2 linked regions of the Oreochromis niloticus genome follow. The protein of the gene in region 1 binds, or shares a complex with, the protein of each later gene. Links are inferred from orthologs where the notes say so. Each region holds a gene or a part of one and is shown on either strand. Other genes may lie near its edges.

Region 1 (10,354 bases):
TTAAGTGTTATGATTCGCATTCTTTGGATTGATCAATGGGGATGCTTAAAAAGTGCCCAATGCTCAATATATTGTCTAATTGATTATAATCTTGCAATGCTAAGTTGTCAGGGAAGGTAATCACACCACCTTAATTTGAAGGTGAAACTGGACTCCTGTACTGGACTGCCCGGGTAACACCGGAAAGCTCATATTTCATAACTGTTTGTCATCTTCTTGCTCAGGACTCCTGGTCAAATTCAGTCAAATTTCATTTTAATGTAAAGAGGCAGCTCTTTGGATCGCCCTACAAAGGTGATCAGATTGCTTTGTGCAAAAGGGCAAAACTGATTGTTCTTGCCGTGACCCTATTTGTCGTGACATTACTAGCGCCAGGCTAAAATTAGAGCTGAAATATTGGTTTCAACGGTTTTGTCAAGCATATACATTTTAACTCCTTGTATATTTGACAAACAGCATAATTAAACTGGTGGAAGTGATGCATATAGCACAGAGCCATGGATTTAGTCTGTATGAATGAGGTCTTTCACTCAGATTCTCAGCTTAAACAGAAGGGTCACTGTTCTGGGTTGCTGCTGTAACTGTCGTAGTAATCTTTTATTATGTTTATAAAAATGGATATAATGCTTCCAGTTTCACCCTGTTAACCATTAGATTTGGCCCACAAAAAAATAAATGAGGGTGAATGAAAATGAGCTGATTTATTTATTTTCATGCTTAAAATCTTTTTTTTGTGGATTTAAATATGGGTAAGCTAACAACAAGGGAAAAATAGAAAATCCCTGCCACTTGCATTATCTGTCATGTTTGATGCGTGGATTACCGACTCTCACATCAAACTGATTTCTAAGTGAAAGTGTCCCTATCATATACATGTTTTGGATGGTTTACTACTTGATCTACAACGTGGGTAAATCTGAACTACAGAAAAAAGGAGCAGATCTTTTGGGGGCCTCCTGGTTGCCGCGGGGCCCTGAACAGCTGCTGTGTGCCCTTGGGCTGACTATGAAACAACTCGTCTATTTTCCGGCCTCCGCAACATGATCTCAAACTTGGATTTGCCAGAAGCATTAGTGCAATAGCTATCAGAGCAGTCACAGAAGTTCACTACATTTCACATAAAGTGCTAAGCCCGACTCTCCCGTTGACTCACCCAGCAGGCTTCACCTGAGAGCTGTAAATCAGTGACGACTTGTTGCCCTCACACAGATACTCCACAGGTGCTGGGCTGATAGGCGCAGTGTTAACAGTGAGAGTGCAAAGTGACATAAATTATAAAACAGAGGTCAAGATGTTAGGATGACAGCAGAAAATTCAGGATAGTTCTGTAAACATATTTAGCAATTTTTTCATGAGGTTCCATCAGATAAAACAAGAGGAATGATTCAGAAATCAGAGGCATGCAATTCTCAACGACCCCCCCCACCCTTCGCAGAATACTATAAAATACACAAACAAGCATTTCATCTATGTAACCACTGAATATGAGAGCACCACAGAGCAGAGGTTAGATGCCAACTGGTAGGGAGAAGTAAGGCGACACTAGCTGTCGAGCTATTAAGACAATTAACAAAGTGGTCAGGAGGGGCCGAGCGGCAGAGATGGAACGGCTCGAAATGGAGAGAGATGAGGGTGTGAAGTGACAGTCAGCACATCTGGTCTCATCAATAATGCAGCGGGCCTTTAAACGGCAGTTTGTCGCTTATTGAGCGCTGCTGACTGAAATCAAGCCCGACACCTTAGATGCTGTCAGGGGAGAGTGAAAGGGTGACAGTGGAAGGAGGAGGATGAGGAGGAGAAGGGGAGGGGGAGGCTGGCAAGGAGAAATAACTTTTCAATGACTGCACTGAATGAGCGCTACAAAATACCACCAAGTACAACCTCATGAGTGTATGTGCTCGTCGATTAGTGAAGTTGAACTTTATAGAAACATCCGTCCAAACTGATACGTAAAAAAGACTTTCAGGGACTTCAAGTGGGCGACAAAGATTAAAGTCACCTTTTTGTGTCAGAACAAATCTAAAATACAGATAAAAATCCTCCTGTTTGTTTCTGTGTTCTGGCCGTGAATAATAAGCAAAGTTCTTTTTCTTTTTTGGCGAGACGTTATGGTGTCACTGTAAATGTTATGGTTATTCAAGTTTATCACATCATCATTTTAATTACTGGTAAAGTTAAAGACCAAGTCAGATGTTTGTGTGAAACCGTGCAGGGATTATTAAATTAATTCTTTAGTTGGAGCCAAAATGTTTTTTGTGTTCAGGGATGTTGATTTTTAGCCCAAGTGAACATAAATAGATGTACCAAATGTGATGAAGCTGAAATACTGAATTCTTGAGAATGGGATAAACAGACAATCTGAAAACATAAAACCAGTTTTTGTCAGAGAAATTAATAATATAAAGACTAGTCTACATTTGTGTAATGTAAACTACATACACTCTAAAAGCTGTAAAAATATCTGCACAATGTTTTCATCTCTTCATCACTTTTATTATGAAAATGAAAAAGACAGAAAAGCTCCGCAGACAAAGAAAAAAATTGGTCACTTTCATGCCTAACATTTTAAATGACAGTCAAAATGGGAGAAACATCTTTTTGATGACACGTTTTCTGTCTTAATAGTGAATTCAGTGATCCAACATCAAAATCAAAACAAATAAGGTTACGGCAACTACAATCAATTGCCTTGAGGAAGTGTAAGAAAAAAAAAAGAAAAGAATAGGTGAGCGGTTCAGAGAGTTCATTTTCCTGTGATCAGAGGATTTCTCAGCACCACGATGACAGAATCCCCCCTGAGGAACATTTTAGAAATGTAGCGGTCCTTATTTACGGGCTTCGACTTCTTCTTTCCCTTCCCGCTCTTCGGAACTTCTGTCCACATCTCCTTCACGTTCTCCAAGACCATGTTGCAATGCCTGAAATGCCGGTGAGGATGTAATGTTAGCAAGTTAGAGAAAATAAATGCATACATAAATAAAATACCTGTGATTTTACTCAGGTACTCATACATATGCATTTACATGTACATGTTCTGTGATTTTTTTTTTTTTTTTTAAATCTTCTGCAGTATCAGAAGAAATGATAAATAAATATTATACCTAAAATGGAAAAAACAAAACAAAAACTACTTTTCAGCTGCTACCTCATTCACAATGGGTTACTCCGGTGGGTAGTTCTGTATGTTTCAATTTCTATAACAGATCTTTCTGATGGAACGTCAATAGGAGTTGGCGGATCTTTCACTCATTAGGTGAGTAAACCAGCTCATTAAAATGATTGTATGTGCCTGAGGACAATGTTCCAGCAACATTATACAACAATTACAAACTAAATGTGTTTGGTTACTTTTACCTTTAAGACAGGGCAATATTTCATAATAAATTAAAGGTGCTAAATGTGACTCCAATGGAGAAAAATAAGAAACGAGTGAATACTAAAAAGGGACCAAAGTGACACGATAACATGTTATCACCAGTGGCTAGCAATAATAATGAAATAAAGGCTTAAATCTAACAAAACAGACAAAAGAAACAAGATATAAAACACACTGATATAAACAAGTAAGTCTCACATTATACCCTCAAGAGTGTTAAATACTAAATAAATGTCCAATTCGGTACCTGTCAAAAGCCTTGACTCTTCCGAGCAGCTTCTTATTGTTGCGACAGTTTATAAGGACCTGCGTGTTGTTCTTCACTGACTGCGTGAGGACTGAGAGGGGGCCGGTGTTGAACTCCTCCTCCTCTCGCTTCTGAAGCTCTTCAGGGGTCATCTCTGACTTGGGCTTTGTTAAGAGGCTCCTGCAAATGAAACAATGAGACAACATCATAACAGTATCCTAATAAGTGAGTGTGACAATAACAGTGGCATATATTTGAAATAGTAAAGTAGTACTATTGGAGGTTTTTTGTTATTAAGATAACACAAGACTTTATTGATCCCACAGCAGGGAAATCTGTGCGTTGCCACAGCTCAGGTACAGATAGACTAATTATACATTTTGATATTTTTTTTTATTATTAGGAAATTTTGCTGGAATTTATTCATTATTTGTTGTGTGACTACTTACTGAAAAAAAGTTAAGTGGAAAACTTAAACTGTACACGGTACACAAAGTAAAATGTCTCGCTACACCTGTAAAATTGGTATTGAGCACAGATGCATTTATCAGACAGCACACACACAACACACTGAAGCTTAAACCTAGCCATTTAAAAGCTTCAGTGGGTCATATTTTGGGACATGTTTGGGGACTTTTATGCTTTAAACTATTTAAAAAAATAATAATTTTTACGTCACTAGACTGCTACAGGTCGCAATTAGTTACCAGCATGAAAACGCACGCTCACACACTTTGTTTCTTGTTAGCATTTAGCAAACTAGCATTTACGCTATAGTCTGATTTCGGAATCAGTATTTTTAAACTGTACAACAAGGAAGACCAGATGTACGAACTACTTTTGATGTAACTACAACAAATCTGTAACACAGCTAGTTATGAAAAGGGAGAGCTCCGAAAGCGTCTACAAAGAATCAAGCACATCAAGCTAACCGGCCCGGGTAGCAGAAAGGCTAACAATGTTAGCCTTTTAAATGCTCGCTGTTAGCGGATTTCAGTGTCTGAAAGAATAACCAGTCTCTCACAACAATAGCTGATCATCACAGACACTTACATGATTTCTTTAGGTCGTTTTCAGCTCACTCTGTAACAATTCGGTCGTTTTCAGCTCGCTCTGCAACGATTCCGTATGGCTCGCGTGGATCAAACTACTTCCGGGTCTATTGGAAGGCGCTTCAAAAACGCCGCTACAACTACCGGGTTACTACAGGCTAACTGAACGGTACAAAAAAGTCAATCTGAAACACACCGTTTCCATCATTAATTGCATTATATTTTACATTTTATTCAATAGACTGCCTCTAAAAGCTGACTAGATATGATTTTATTATTCTACTCCGATGATCTATCCTGTTCACAAACTAATGACACATTAATTGCTGAATTTTAAGAGGTAAGACAAATATTTGTTGTTAGTCCAGAAAATCAGAGACAGAACATTTCATCGTATTTATCATCCAATTTTCTGAAACACAATGAGCGCATCAGGAACCCTGGCATTTTTTTTTTGGATAGTCAGTTTTGGTAATCATATAGTTTGATAAGAGTCCTCACATTAAGTCACTTCATTGGCTCCCAGTTGAGTACAGAATAAACTATAAATCCTTCTATTAGTTCATAAAAATTTTAAATGGTTTTAACTTTTATAGTAAGCCCATGAGATTACGTGTAGTAAAATATGGTATATACATATAAAATTGACATCACTGTTAACATATTAAATACAGGATAAATTCTTATGTAAGCATGCTCAAATTGTCTTTCAGTTTAAAAGCATAATTTTCTTATTATAGGGAATAGAGCAATTTTATGTTTTTTTCTGCAAAGAATACTGATACTCTAATAATAATAACAATAATAATAATAATAATAATGATAATAATAATAATAATAACGGTTTGGGACTCAATATAACTCAGACCTCTTAAGAAGATGTTATAGGATAAAAGAAATAAATCAGAGAGCAGTCAAACTGATATGCAGACTCAAACAGTTAAGTCATTGTTTTGCTCTTCGGTACAACAAGAACGAGTAAAAAGAGCACGTCTATGTCTGAGAGAGGGAGATTGGCTTTCTGGCAAGAGACAGACAGACGCCTATAGGTGTCCAACCCACCCACCTTGTTTCAGTGGTGGCAGATCTACCTGTCGAAAGCACTTGCTGCAGATAATGGCAGCCTGTGTGCTGCTGAGGGAGGGGAGTGTGATTGACTGGGATCGATTACCAGCGCTGCTGGGCTACATCTTTATGGAGCACACCTAGCTCAGCCAAAAGTCTTGCATCCTAAACTGTGGTGTAAAATGAGCTCATATACATGAAACGGAAAAGTGGGAGTCTGGAAAGACTTTGTTCAGTTAAGAGAGCAGGCAAATACTCAGTAACTAACCAAAAAGACAAGAAGAAAATATGTGAAACAGCCAAGTAGAAAAAGTAAAGTTTCCTTTTTGTTAACCTAAATTTTATTGGCTTTCAAAACAGACAGAACAGTGAGAACAAAAAATAAAGCAAAACATACACATTAACAGACATGCAGATGCACAAAGTAACTGTAAGATTCATTTAATTGGATTGTGTTTCTAAGAAAATGGATAGACCTGCAAGAAAGTGAACAGGATTTTAAAGGATTTACAATTCCCTCAGATTTATCAAAATATATTGTGGACATACTGTAAATCTTAATATCTTAAGTTTGCATCACTTCCCTCAAGCAGCACAAGGTGGCAACTTTTGTTATTTGCACTTCATTTACAGGAAGGTTATTATTCTCACCCAAAATCCCAAATATGGTGAAAGAGTCAGACTGAATTACTAGTCTGAAAAAAATATCTGACAGCACTTTGAAGACTGAGTTCAAACACGTGAACACGTTAGGACACCTCCAGAAAGCGTGTGCCAAAGAGGTGTGGGTATGACAGATTGACTCTACATTTGGAAAGGATTTAGAGTCTAATGTTAGTGAAACTGAACCTGTACAACACCTTACACTGAACAAGGACATGCCGGGCACAGACGGATAGCCACCCTCTCCCATAAGTGTTTTTTAAGCTCTTTTTCAGTGCACAACAAAAATCTGTTAAATCTGTTTGATTTATAATAATAATAATAAGAAGAAGAAGAATTTGTGGTAACTTGTGGTAACAAGGTTTCTTTTTGACAGAAAATACTGGAGCTTAAACAGAGCCTGAAAATTTTGCAGCGTGGGAGAAACAAGCTGGCAAACACTGATGCTGATGTTGATCGTCAAACAGGTGCACTTTGAGACATACTGATGCAGAATGTTCAGTGGCTTTAAAGAGCTGCTCTGTTTCTCCAAACAGAAATGATGTGGAGGGAGAAGTCGAAGGTCTGGCATGGACTGCTTCATGCTCAGCAACTGAATTCCAACCTAATTTTAAGGGAACAACAAATGCAGATACGTGAGGGTCTTCAAAGACCCTTTCCTACTCACCCAAATCAAACAGAACAAACAGAGGTGTTATTCCCACTTTACATTTTGTTGTACATTTTAAAAAATGTATCTGAAAACTGAAATTTGAGCAGAAAGAGATGATAACTAAAGAGTTTTTTTTTTAAAACTTTTGATTGGTTTTGAAAAAGCCATCATAATTTCTACATTTCTGCAGCTTCCTGCACACCAAAAACCAGCGAAACCTTATTGTAGCAGGGTGAATTATAGCTCTATGGTTATTAGTAGAGCTGTCAAACTAAACATGTTATTTATTGCACTAACAGCAAACAGTATCTTCTTACTCCTGCCTCAGGATACTTTGCACCAAAAGCTTGTTGCTTCACAGCTAAGCCCCCCCCCCCTTGCTGCTCTGCACACCACAGTGCCACAGTGCTTCATGCCAAAGTGTAAATATTATCTTTTGTATCTATCTAGACAGTGAGTTACCTGATCCAGCCCGGTCTGCTTTAACCACAGGTGACTGTGGATGTGGCTGGCTTTGGAAAGGTGGTGAGGTTTTTTTTTCTTTCTATTTATGTTTTTGATAAAGAACCCTTTGTTTAAAAGAGACAGCTGCTCTAATCTGCATCCACATACATCTATTAATTTAAATCTCCAGGGTGCAGCAGGGAGGAGAGGTGAGGGAAAGTTTAACAGGCAGTGATGTCAGCGCAGGTTGAAACACAAGACAGATCAATAAGATCTGCGCGACTGGAAATGCCATGTCTACCTGTTGAGGTTACATCACAACCTTTTCCACACGATATCTCCTCGAGAAACCTTTTTAGTGGAACTGTTCATAAACAAAAAAAGAATGGCTCAGAGCATACCCACACAGAGGCCTCTGTGCCTCACAACCTTTCCTTAAAACATTCAATCCAGTCTATATATAGTTCTTATTGTGCGGGCTCAAATCTCCAGAGTGAAACATTTAATAACACAGCCAAATAAGAACAATCAACAACAGCAGCTTTTAATGAGGTAAAAAGAAAACACAATTAAAAATGCATTATTTATCGTTTAATTACATGTAAGGTCATTAAAATGGGAATGTAATATATATATGGTTGCAACATTAACGAAATCGAAGACAATAAGTGCAGCAAATGAGCAGTTTAAGTATCATTTTCACATCGCATTTTCACCCAAACTGAAAACTCATAATTTAAAAAGTGGACTAAAAAATCCAAAAATCCAAAAAACCAAACCAAAAAACCCGGTTCCACCCGTTCGTTTAAAATTTAGCTGGAACCTTTTCGAAGTAATATTTTAATGTGTTGGACACCATGCTGGAGAAAGCAAATCCCTTCATCAAGAGTTATATATTTTTCGATTTTATTTCATGTTTAAAATCGTGTTTTCTTCTCACCTCCCTTCAAACCAAAACTGGTGACATGCGCCAAAAAACCCTTCACTTTTTGATACCAATAAACATACATGTGGGAAATCATTGATGAGGAAAGTTAACAAAGGATAATATTTTTTCTAGTACAATTTCAGAAGCAGATGCAAACTCGGTGAACGTTAATTGCATTAAAAAATGATCTGCGCATATCCGCGCATATCCTAGGATTTACATTATATGCAAAAACACATTTTTTTGCTCATTTTCGGAAATGTGTTTGTCGGATGAAGTATTTTAAGACTTATAGTCCACGCGTCATTTATTTTGGTCATTTAAACTTTGCAACTCTGAGAAATAATCCAAGTCTATTAACGCTTTTTTACTTAGAGACATCCACTGTGACGCAGACATTTGGGTAAATATTGCAGGATTTTTATCATTCATCGGGATTCTTTGGCTTTGCCTTTTGTTTCCAACAATTAGCAAACTATCTACAGCAATGTTTCAAATCTCACATACTGGCTGTCGGGACTGTTTATCTATTTCTCTATATTCCAAGACGACGGGCTCGGGCTGACTTGAGGGCAGTAATTTGAAAAGTCACCGCAGCATCCTCCGAGGTCTGAGTGACCGCTCTTGGGTAAAAACGTCGCCGCTGGTGTCTTGGAGGTGGCGCACTCCTCTTGACTAAACGTGGCGGCGCACGGTATGTGGTGAGAGTAAAAGTAGCTGGCTTGTCCGGAGATCATGTTAAAAGAGCACGGGTCTGTCAGCGGCAGCGTGCACGCGGGGATGGAGGTGGAGAAGGCGGTGCACGCGGCGCCGATCTGGTGGCGACGGGACTGCGCGCAACTGAGTCCGATGTAAGACATCTCCTGGTGCGTCTGCACGAACCGGTCAGCGTCCGCAGCGTTTGCGCTCAGTCGGGCCCGCTGTGAGACCACCGACGTGGCGTGGTTGGAGAAGCGAGGGTGCGCGCTCAGGTAAGTCCCCGCGCCAAGGTGGGTGCGCACCGGCGCTTGGAGAGGTAGAAACGGCGGAACCGGCCAGTAAAACGAACTGGCTGCGGCCAGAGTGACGCTAGTTGCAGTGCTGGAGGGCATCACACGACCGCCTCCTCTCTTCAACCCAAGCTTGGCCCTGGAGCCAGCTGCGGCTCTGCGCCGCAGTTTTCCCGATGTGCCACCTATGAAGACGTCCTCGCTGCAGGGGTCCAGCATCCAGTAGTTGCCTTTGCCGGGATCGTCGTAGTGGCGCGGCACTTTCACGAAACACTTGTTTAGGCTCAGGTTGTGCCTGATTGAATTTTGCCACCCTTGTCTGTTTTGCCGGTAGTATGGAAAGTTGTCCATGATGAACTCATAGATGCCGTTGAGCGTGAGCCGTCGTTCGGGGCTTTGGCGGATCGCCATCATGATGAGCGCGTTGTAACTAAAAGGAGGTTTCTCGGGTTTGACGCTTTCTTCTGCCCCACCGGTTTCCCTCGATTCTTCCTTATTTCCTTCTCGTTTCCCAGTTACAGTCCCCGCTTTGGTTTCCACTTTGGCGCATTCTTTTGACTTTTCAAAGTTTTGATCCTGGCTGGTTTTTGCAAGCTGGTTAGAGCGCACTTTCTGGGACTGAGAAGGAGACTCCTTGTCACCCATCACTCCTTCTCGTCTCCACAACAGGCTGCTGATGCTGAATGAAGACTTGTGGAATAATCGGCTTGAAGTTTTCACATCCTCAATCTCCATCCCAAAGGTTAAAAAATACTCTCGAAATTCTCAAAGCTGTCCGGAGAGCGCAGGAGAGCGTACCGCTGAACCCACAGAGCAAAGATGCGTCGACTCAAAGTGGTGAAGAGCCAAAGACGCACGGGCCAGACAGCGTGACAACAAATGCGCATGATCACAGCAGCTCAGGACTCGTTACCTCCAAAACGACTCGAGTTGGTATT
Region 2 (10,374 bases), on another chromosome or scaffold:
TAAACAGTAATACTGAAATATCAGATTTGAATTTGTCTTAAAACGTTCTAACATACTTCCAAATCCCTACAGAGACTTTTTAAGACCGTGGTGACGCTCTTAACTCCAAACTAATGAAGTGAGTGAGCTTCTGAAACATATTAGCCATGTCATCAGAAACTAACCCATGTTAAGTCCCTTTGCCCCCTTCCACTGACCCTGATGTTATCCAATTTATACCAACTGTGCTGAGAGGAGCTTTGAACGAACGCACAGATTAGCACCAATACAGCCAATCTGCTGCTGATTTATAGGAAAGCTGGCTGAGAATTGATCCTATCAGAGCTCACTGAACTCAAATGGAAAGGACACAATGGACAAGAAAAGGGTAATGAAAATAGTCACAATAATTATAAAGGTCAGGAGAAGTTCAGCTGAAAATTGCTGCCTGAGCTTTTAAACCCGCTTCTTTCATTCTAGAGGAGCCATGAAAAAGATGTAAGGCTAATGTCGCTGAGCATGACAGTCTATCCAGTCCTTCCAGACTTCCAAGATGTTTCATGTTCAGGCAGGATGTTTTTGCAAAAGACCACTGTGGTGATCATGAATAAACAATAATAAACAATTATAAAACTAATTTCATTTAACGAACACAAACCCCCAACTACATCACAATAACAACAAGTTGTAAAAAACAAAGCTATCGCATATGTTGGGACAATGTTTTGTGAGTGAGTCACTATAAAAAAAGAAAGTTGTTCAAGAGTCCAGGATGACTTTTTCAGTCTTAATCTTTATGGCTTTAAAGCTAAGGCAGATGTTTTAATGTATAAATTCTATACAGATTTTAAACATGGTCTGAATTCCTGCCAGATAATCAGGCAAATGCCAATTTGAATATTTTCCAACTTCTTAATAACATGAAGAGTTTGGTCAGTCGTATTGAATATGAATATTTCCAAAATCACATTTCCCAGAACCCTGATGTTACCTTAATCTGCTTGTGCAAGTAGAGAAACAAACATGCAGCAGACAAAAGAGACAAATCTTAACACATCTTTGGGACAAACTTGCTCTTCCCGCATGAAGTAGCACAACCTGTCTGGGTGGAGGGAGGGTTCTAGGTACACTAAGAATGCTCATGTCACAAGCAGAGGTCACATTGCACAAATCTTTTCAACAGATTGGAACAGTGGTGTTGGATTTAATGTAACAAAAAATAGTCACACACAACATTTTAAGGAAAAGTGCCGGTAACATGAGTGGTTTGTCTCTTTCACAGCTGTAAACGATTTCAGACTCTTCCATTCAGGACTCTTTATGGGTGTAAAGTAAGCTGTTAGATAATATAAGTACTCAAATTCAGAGACCATTGGTTAATTCTTATCACTTTCCCCCAACTCTAAATGTATTTTCAGGGTGGACTATGATAAGCCAACAAAGGTTCAGCCTTAAGCATAAAATATAACTGGATATGAAAAGTTGTCTGGTCAAAGATTACACTTGAATAAAGACTGACTCTGTAGCAACCTCCACTGATTACATCCTGGATGGAAGAAATAGCCGCTGAAGACTCAGTAGATTAAAACAACATAAAAGGTTCACGAACAGAATAAATGTGTTAAATAAACTCTTTTCACATGGAGCTGTGTCTGTTTTATGCAGCACTGTGCCTCGTGAACGTACCACTGTGGTACAAATTTCATCTGTGCTTCCACACCATTCTAAGTGCTGTCATTGATTTGCAGGCACAGGGGCAAGGGTAAGCGGCTCTTCCTCATCTGAATCAAACTCGACATTCTCGTCTTTAACCCACTTGCCGCTGTGGTCTTGCAGCCACCCATCACTATGAAAAAATAACAACAACAACAAAAAAATAGATAAAATGCACTGAAAATCTAATAATCTGCTAAAAAGTAGTGAAAATGTACAACATTAGAAAGTGAAAGTCCCACAACATTTAGGCACCTTTTCAGTTTGAGGTAGTGCTCCAGCTCTCTCTTCCTCTGGGCAGTGATGGGTTCAGCCTCCTGTGTCTCTGCAGCCTGAGATTCGGCCGTATCTTTTGATGGATGTGGCTCTTTATTGGCTACAAAAAGAGTTCAGGCAAAATCATGACCAAGGTTTGCTCAAAATAAAAGCTGACAATAAAACATTTCCTCTAGCAGACCTTACCTGTTGAACAGACAGTAGAGTTGCTTTGTGACGTGTTCACTGAAATGCCAGATTCCCAGCATGCAGATGTCATGTTGTCACTGGGGTCTGAGCTGGTGCTTGCTGTCACTTTTTCAGATTTTGTGCTTAAAAAGAATGACAAATAATTTAAATTGTGTTTTTCATTGTATGGCTTCAAATACAGACAACTCTCATACCAAGTAATCACTCACCTGGTTTTTCTATGACAGCTGTTATATGGTACAGTTTTCAGCAAAGCATGATGGGTGAGCTTCCGTGTTTGTGCTAGTAATGGGGCTGAACTGGAGGGCTCCTGAAATCACAACAAGAGTGGCTCATATTTTCCACCATTACACAACTACACTGAATTGTTTAGTAAGGTGTAATTTGTTAGAGTCATATGGTAGTCACACGGGCACCACATAAGTGATTTAACAGGAGACAACAACATGGAATAACAATGTCATGCAGTAAAGAAAGATTACATCTGTTGAGCTCGTGATGTTTTTCCTGTGATGATTCATTGACCGTCTGCTGGCAGAATGACCCGGCTGGTTCTCATCTGTTGTTGCTTTGTTAAACACACAGATTTTTTCTGTTGGCTATGACAGACTTGTGAACTTGACAGAGAAAGCATGATTAATAGTTACCAACCTGCCTTTTTTCTTCAGCCTCGACGTAGTTTTCATGTTGCCGTTTTGTTATTTCATTCTTCAGCCGTGCTTTCTTGCCATAAAATGCTTTTAGCCCTGAGTAGAACACACAACAAACAACTGGGTTTACTAAAAAGTCAATGTAAACTGAACCAAACCTGAAAAAAAAGTCATACTCGTTTCCCTTTGAAGTACAGCAAGTTTGGTATATACAATGAAGACATGCAAAACTTTACCTTCATACTGTAGAAATTAAACTGGTATCGAAATGTAGGTAAAAACAACACTTTTTATATGCTGTAACTTATCTAACATACATGTTATACGGTGATACCCTTATTCAAAATACACTTTCCGGAATTTTTTCAAGTGAATCATCAGAAAATAAAGAAAACTTCCAGGGTACAAATGCTTGTCTTTAATTGTTTGTGTAAGAGACAACAGACAGAGTTTTGCTTTTCCGAATGAGGAAAGTTGGATGTTAAAAAAAAAAAAAAAAAAAAAACCTGGTGAAGAAAAATTAGATAGTTGTACAACACTCTGACACTTAAAGAGTACAATTTGTTTGACAGCCATTCAAAGTGATGGAAAAACTAACAAATTCAAAAGCATGAAATTTTTACTTATCCCTATGTACTTGTAAATATGCAGTTTTAGTGTGAAAAAGTGCTACAATGTATCATCGTTTGGGTTTTTAATTCTTCCAAATAATGACGGGATATCAAATCCAGATAATTTGAAAACCAAAACTACTCTTTGTGACGCAGCATTAGAAAAGACACACAAAAACAGCTAACCAATGACGCAATCCAAAAACTATTGAACTTTCCAATATTTCAACTCTTTGTTAACTTGACTTGATTATCTGCAAATGCAATGCAAAATTTCCCCTTGACTGCTGCTTTTGAGTTTTATTGAGTTTATTCATTTACTCAGTTGGGTTTTCAACTGCTGCATCAAATTACAATACAGGTCTTGTGTTGGCTGTTGTTTTGCCTGATGAGGACATAACTACTGACCAGCGCATCTCTTTCTTTGATCCTCAGTTAGTTATGTAGCTTCTCCCTCTCACAAGTAGCTTTTCAGTCTTCAGTGTTGTATTTTATTTTTGAGCAGATTCTATTAATATGCATAGTTTATGCATCTGTACTCCTCTGATTTTGTGTAGCATATGTAGCAAGGATGGCATATTAACCTGCACTTCACAGCACCTCAGATGATAGCTCGACCTCATAAAAGTGCCTGTCCTGCAGCATTGACTTTAGAAATGCAGAGTCATTTAAAATATGGGGTACTGTCTCAATAAATAGGGCGAAAGACAAGGGATAGAAATGGTGTGCAGATGGCTAACCCTTGATACAGCGCTTCTTAATAAGACTGGGGCCGAAACTTCAGGTCCGCTAGGTCCCCGGGGTACGAGCCCACGTACTAACTTAGTTGCTTTAAATAACTTTGCAGGTTAAAGGTGCTCACCGTCTAGATGCCTCTTTCCTTTTCTGTGGACTGTCAACATGTCGACTGTATCAAACACAGGACGGTAGGAACACACAAGGCAAGTGTACCTATAAGATACGGGGAGAAATTAAACTAAACATGCCGTTAGCTACACAAGTTTGTCTTTCCCAAACATATCAATGTTTTGAAGTTCACTCCACCTTCCATTTTTCATAAGAGCAGCCTCATCTTCTGGAATAAAATTAGACAAAAGGTCTGCCACACGACGTTTCTGTAAAACGAAGCGAATAACGTTAGATAGTATGTAAGTTTTACTACAATTTTATTTCCCAAAGTAATAACTACAGTATGTTGTTAGCTTAAAGATGCTAACACTAGCCACATGTGTGCTCTTAGCTGAAGTCTCTGTTATTAAGCCAACATAAAATGCTGCAAATTGATCCGTACCTTAAGGAGATTCAGCTGGCTTTTATCGTCACCTTCTCTTTTAAAGGACATAATTGTTATGATCAATAATATAAAAACTAATCTGAGTAGCAGCGTAGCTTCTTGGCTATAATATATAAGCTAATAGCAATGCTGCATTCATGGACAAACGGAAGATAGGAAATATAGACCTGTGCTCATCTTTGAGGTGGATAATTGTTTCGGCTATCGGAACTACAACGATATCTGCTGGTTTTTATAATATAAAGTCCGCATAGTCATTTGAAAGCTCGATTTGTGGCTATAGTTTGTATTTGCTCAATTTGTGAAACAAACTATATCAACTTAATATAAAACGCAAATTTTTCCCCTACAGTCTTTAATGCAACGCGTTGTGGCGAATCATAGGACTAGTCAGTGAACACGGCAGCCATGGCAACATATGGCTGTAGACAGCTGACTGCAAGAGTTTTGAAAACAAGTTTTTCAGCGACTTTTAGTTGTGTATTTGACAGATAAGGTACGTTATATTTGTAATCCAAGAAACTTTCTATATAGTTTAAACGGCTGTCATTTTGGAGAAAAGATTGAACGCTTGGAACAAATAACGAGCGACGACGTTAATTAAGTTGATAGCCTTAGCTAGCAGGCTAACTAAGCTGCTAGTTTGATAATTATGGGCTAAAGCGGAAGCCATTATTGTGAAGATGTTAACAGCAGTGAAGTTCGCTGGTAAGCGCATTTTAGGCCCACATGGTTGTTTACCACACAAAAAAAGAACAATATAAGTGTTTTACGACAATGTCAGAGGAGCGAGCTCCACTACCAGCTGGAGGAGACGGCCTACTCCGAGGGAGCCGCACAAGATCTTACGGCAGTTTGATCCGATCTCCGCTGTCCCCGGTGCACCAGAGACGTATTGAACATATAATTCAGCCGGGAGAGACACTGCAAGGCCTGGCGCTGAAGTATGGAGTGTCTGTGAGTATGACTGTGTTGGTTTGACTCTGAGACTGAATTAGTTAAAGTATTTATTTCTTGCGCCTTTAACAGTTCAGGTTCAAGGTTCTTTATTTGTCACATGCATAGTTATACAAGTATAACACAGAGTGAAATGTATCCTGACACGCTCCTCGACATGTGCAAAAAGGGAGGGGGGGTAGAGGAATAACATTATAAATATACATTGGGTGAATGTGCAGTAGTAGCAGCAAGCAGGTCAATTCTGTACATTAATATGAATAGACATCTGACTATTTTACAGAATGGACAATATAAACATATTTAAAGTTAAAGGAAATGAGTGTCTGGAGGAAAGTCTCAGTCAATTATAGATGATGTGAGAGGGCGTGTGTGTGTGTGTGTGTGTGTGTGTGTGTGTGTGTGTGTGTGTGTGTGGGTGGGTGGGGGGGGGTGTTGGTTTAGGGCCGATGGCTTGAGGATAGAAGCTCCTCTTGTAGATTGTAGAAGTTGGAACAGTTTGTTGCCAGGATGGGACGGGTCCTTCAGTATCTGCGTTGCTCTAGTCCGGCATCTCCTGGTGTAGGTGTCCTGAAGCGGGGGGAGAGCAATCCTGCAGCAGCGTTCTGCTGTACGGATCAATCTCTGGAGAGCTTTTTGGTCCTTCACACAGCTGTTCCCAAACCACGATGTCATGTTAAGCTTATGTTGAAATTTACTTGTTGCGATATGATGTCTTCTAACTGAATACTTGATTTACCAATACTGAAATGTAAATGTGGGTGAATAATCACATTTCTTATTGTTTTATTTTCATATTTATTGAGGTAGGGTTATCTCAGTGGTTCAACAAAAACGTTCAACTACATAATTAAATTGTTTATTCAGCTGTTAGGGCATACTATGAAAAAGTGCTTGCCTTAAAATGGCATGTATTTATTTGGTTTGCTGTCTGCCTACTGATCTCGGTAAAAGTGAGACTTGATTTAGCCAAGTCTAATACTAATTAACATAAGGTTCACAAGGACATTTTCTCTTTCAGATGGAGCAAATCAAAAGAGCAAACAGGCTGTACACCAATGACTCAATATTCCTGAAGAAGTCTTTGACAATCCCTGTGATAGCAGACCTGGACGACTGCAGTAAAGGGCTGGATGTGGCTGAGGAGGACGGCAACAAAGGCAGTGCTAACTCTGCTTCGCTTCACAATGGACACACAGGGAGTTCCTCTGAGAAAAATCAAGAAGACAGAAAAGATCTCACTCCTGGGGATTTTTTGAAAAGGTTGGATGACTTGATAAGCCAGTCCAAGCAGGCTGCAGTCAAAGGATGCCAGGAAGCAGAGAAAAGGTATAACTGTGCCTGTCGCTGGTTGCTCTTTTCTTTGCACAGTTGTTGTCCAGTCAGGGTCATTTGTAGCATTACAGAGACTTACCCTCTTCGTATTTAAGTCACTAATAGTTAGATCAGTTGGTCCTGCTTATGGATATGTTTTTAGTCATGTCGCTGAGAATATTGTACCTTCACTGATGTGTAAACAATGTTGAGGTCATGGTTAAATACACGCATTTTGATGTTAAGCATAGATATACATGGATAGTATCTGGTGGTCAGTTTAACCTAGATTGTCATGTCAAGTATAGTCATCCACCTTTCTGGCCTTCTTAGTATTTCATCAACCACTCACAATGTGGCTGTTCAAAAGATTCCCAATGCTTAATAGCTACTTTGAATTTAATTTGTAATGACCTGGTGATAGTACCAGTGCAACAGCGATTATTTTTATTTTTTTTTATTTTTTAAGAATATCAATCAATTTAGCCTAAGATCAGTACACTGTGAATGACTTGCTCTGTTATATATTTTTTTTATTTACCAGGGTTGCTACACTAGAAGCAACTTGCAACAACAGGACATCAGATTGCCGGCCGCTTACGAGGTCACAGAGTGTCATTTCATCTTCCAGGATGGCAGTACATGGGACAGTACCGCTCACTGTCACCAAACTGACCAAGAAACTGAGAGACAAGGAAGATGAAATCTTTGAACTGTGACATGTCTGTCACTCAGAACATTAATGGAACTTTCGCAGGGAGCCGTGATGCGCTGTTTGATCTCCAGGATAACGGAGCGTTACGGATAAAGGAATGAAAAGGAATCCCCGGTGATCCCGCTGCTGCCTAAAGCATAAAAGTGTTTTTACACTTCCATTTAAAAAAAATTATATTGCACAATTGTAGACTTGTTATTTATTTGGTGAGACATACTGTAGGTTGTGAAAAGCTTCATATGACTATTCACATCCAGGAAATGGAAACTTGAAATTTGAAAAATGAAAAATCAATCATATTTAGTCAGATGATCATATGGTCAACACAAAAGGGGTTTGTGTGTAATTGCCTCATATTTTCAGACTTGTAACCTTAGGAAATGGAATCTTAAACACAAGTTACGTTTACTGTAATAATGATGATGACAATAAACTGATTAGAATGATGGTTTTTCTATTACTGCTGAAAATGCAAGAAAACATTTTGTAGGCTTTATAATATTTCATTGCAATAATTGTGTTGTTAAGGTTATATTTCTAATGTCTTCTCAATTTTGTATTTTTTGTTTTAAAATAAATATTTTTATCCCATGTTAAATGACATTTATTCACATTACTGCTAACAAATATCTTTTAGTATAACATGCAGATTTAGCTGTTATGTGAGATTTAATGTCCAATTGGAGTTGATTTTTATCCATTTTAACTGCCGTGTAAGACCAATGAATAGCCAATAGACCAATGAATTAAAACATTTTTAAGCCCTACTGTGATCCAAAAATCATGAATTATAGATTGGCTGTTCAAGCAGTCATGAGTAAAGAGTCTGTCTTTTTGTTGATCTAAACATGTTTTTAAAATACAGTCATGGTCGCAGTAATTGTGCACTCTGGGGTCATTATCTTTATTTTTGGCTTGATTGTTGTCTGGACACCTCAGTAAATACAGTTTGTTGCTGCAGAAGCATCATCTTAACCACCAGATGGCAGTGGTGTACTATAGTGGTACTGTTCCCAGGCCTAACTTGCTTATGCATCTGTCCAGCTGATTCATATCAGTGATTATAATGCATAATATCAGTAGTTCTGAATAATACATTTCAAAGTCACAAATATTAGATGATATTTTGTATGCTAGTAAAATAATCAATGCACAATATATCTGTTTAATTTCAAGTTTGTTTTCTTTGGACACTGTCTGAATAGAAAATTAGCATCACTTACATAATATATATTTATGGCCCCAAAATATCAAAAACTTGAATGACTCCACAAAGCTTTATTTGTATCCCACATGTTCTTTGAGAACTATGGGAAAGCAGGTTGGTTCTCAAATGACTTGTTTTATGTTGCCAGTCCTCAGTAACAGAAAAACAAGCAGTTCAGAGTCCTAGTTGAGTCTGTCTGTTGATCTCCCAGTGTCTGTCTGAAATTTAGTTCTGATGTCATATTGTCCCATCTTCCACTAGTTTATTCAGTCCTTTACAGATCTTGGTGAGGTTGGGTCTGAAGGGCCCATCAGGGTTGTACAGTTGGGTCAGGAGCTGTGGGTCGGAGTAATGGTTGAAGACATGGTTGATGCGACCATGAGATTTAGTGGTGAGGTGGGTGTTGACCAGTTTCAGCAGCAGATCCCTGCAGCTGGTCAGGATGTCTGCCATCACTGTTTTTTCAAAGGTAAAGTCCACCTGCATCAGACAAGACATGCATTCATGTTAGGAATTTCATACAAGTAGAATTGTTTAATATCTTAACATGACTGTGAAGTAGCAGGATATGATGTATGAATATTCTACCAGGTTTAAAGACGTCTTAGAGGTTGCATATTTTCGTTATCTTAATCTTTCTTGCATATTCAATTTTAATCCCAATACAGAAGTTTCAATATCAACTTATTGTTCTCTCACATTACCAAAGCAGAGAAACAAGCACTTGATTATGTGGAACTGAAATAAAACAAGCAACCCTTTAAAGCAATGTCTGAGCCACACGTTGATGCAGAAGAGAATCATATTCAACAATGAACTAACCTGGACATTTTGATGCTATGTGATTAATATATTTATCTGTTTTAATTGGAAATGTTAACACAACTGCAAATTGCATTTATTGTGGAAAAACTAAGGTCAAGCAACTCTTGAAGTTGCCTGATTTCCCAGCCTTGAAGTTCATGCTGTGCACAAAACATTTTTCCCATTTGAGAGTAATTGGCATTCTTTTGCAGTTGGAGCTAGAAAACATGTGCATTAGCACAATTTTCTTTCAGGTGATGTATGCCTACTTATACATCATGCATTAAAATTTTTAAGTTGGGAAGTGTACCTCATAGAAACTGATAGCTGTCATTGCTCCCTGGTGGAGCTTCTTCTTAAAGTCTTGGGCCACTGCCAGCTCTTCTGTGCTGAAGCGGTTGTTCCTGAAAAGGACGCCGATCTTGACTGCAATCTTGATGAGGTCTTTGATGACTTTCTGAGCCTCTGATTTATTTCCCAAGTAGTCTCTGGAGACCCGGTACAGTTCATCTAGGATCTCACTGGTGGTGTCATCAATGAACATTTGTACAGAGCTTTTTGTGGCCATGCTGCTGAGGATCTTCTTCTGTGCCTTCATGGCCATGTCCTTGGCATTGAACGCATCCATTGTGCCTGAATTATGAAGAAAATGAATTGAATTTTTC

Evidence for each region. Proteins that work in one complex are often made in the same cells at the same time.
Region 2: snrpd2 (region 1) and scnm1 share a complex: the UniProt entries of both Homo sapiens proteins name them as parts of the minor spliceosome. The link is inferred for Oreochromis niloticus from reciprocal best matches to the Homo sapiens genes SNRPD2 and SCNM1.

The regions. Positions count from the first base shown.
Region 1 is NC_031979.2:15,053,133-15,063,486, forward strand, and holds snrpd2 (small nuclear ribonucleoprotein Sm D2), read right to left. Parts: upstream 4,825-10,354; 5' UTR 4,679-4,824; coding exon 4,677-4,678; intron 3,804-4,676; coding exon 3,624-3,803; intron 2,919-3,623; coding exon 2,744-2,918; 3' UTR 2,472-2,743; downstream 1-2,471. Other genes in the region: foxg1c (forkhead box protein G1c), read right to left, coding at 8,955-10,151. UniProt on the Homo sapiens protein: Plays a role in pre-mRNA splicing as a core component of the spliceosomal U1, U2, U4 and U5 small nuclear ribonucleoproteins (snRNPs), the building blocks of the spliceosome.
Region 2 is NC_031976.2:31,211,717-31,222,090, forward strand, and holds scnm1 (sodium channel modifier 1), read right to left. Parts: upstream 4,895-10,374; 5' UTR 4,761-4,894; coding exon 4,710-4,760; intron 4,534-4,709; coding exon 4,463-4,533; intron 4,370-4,462; coding exon 4,281-4,369; intron 2,904-4,280; coding exon 2,809-2,903; intron 2,468-2,808; coding exon 2,367-2,467; intron 2,280-2,366; coding exon 2,155-2,279; intron 2,069-2,154; coding exon 1,948-2,068; intron 1,826-1,947; coding exon 1,714-1,825; 3' UTR 233-1,713; downstream 1-232. Other genes in the region: lysmd1 (lysM and putative peptidoglycan-binding domain-containing protein 1), read left to right, coding at 5,442-5,669, 6,691-6,998, 7,528-7,702; tnfaip8l2b (tumor necrosis factor, alpha-induced protein 8-like protein 2 B), read right to left, coding at 9,143-9,385, 10,020-10,337. UniProt on the Homo sapiens protein: As a component of the minor spliceosome, involved in the splicing of U12-type introns in pre-mRNAs. Plays a role in the regulation of primary cilia length and Hedgehog signaling.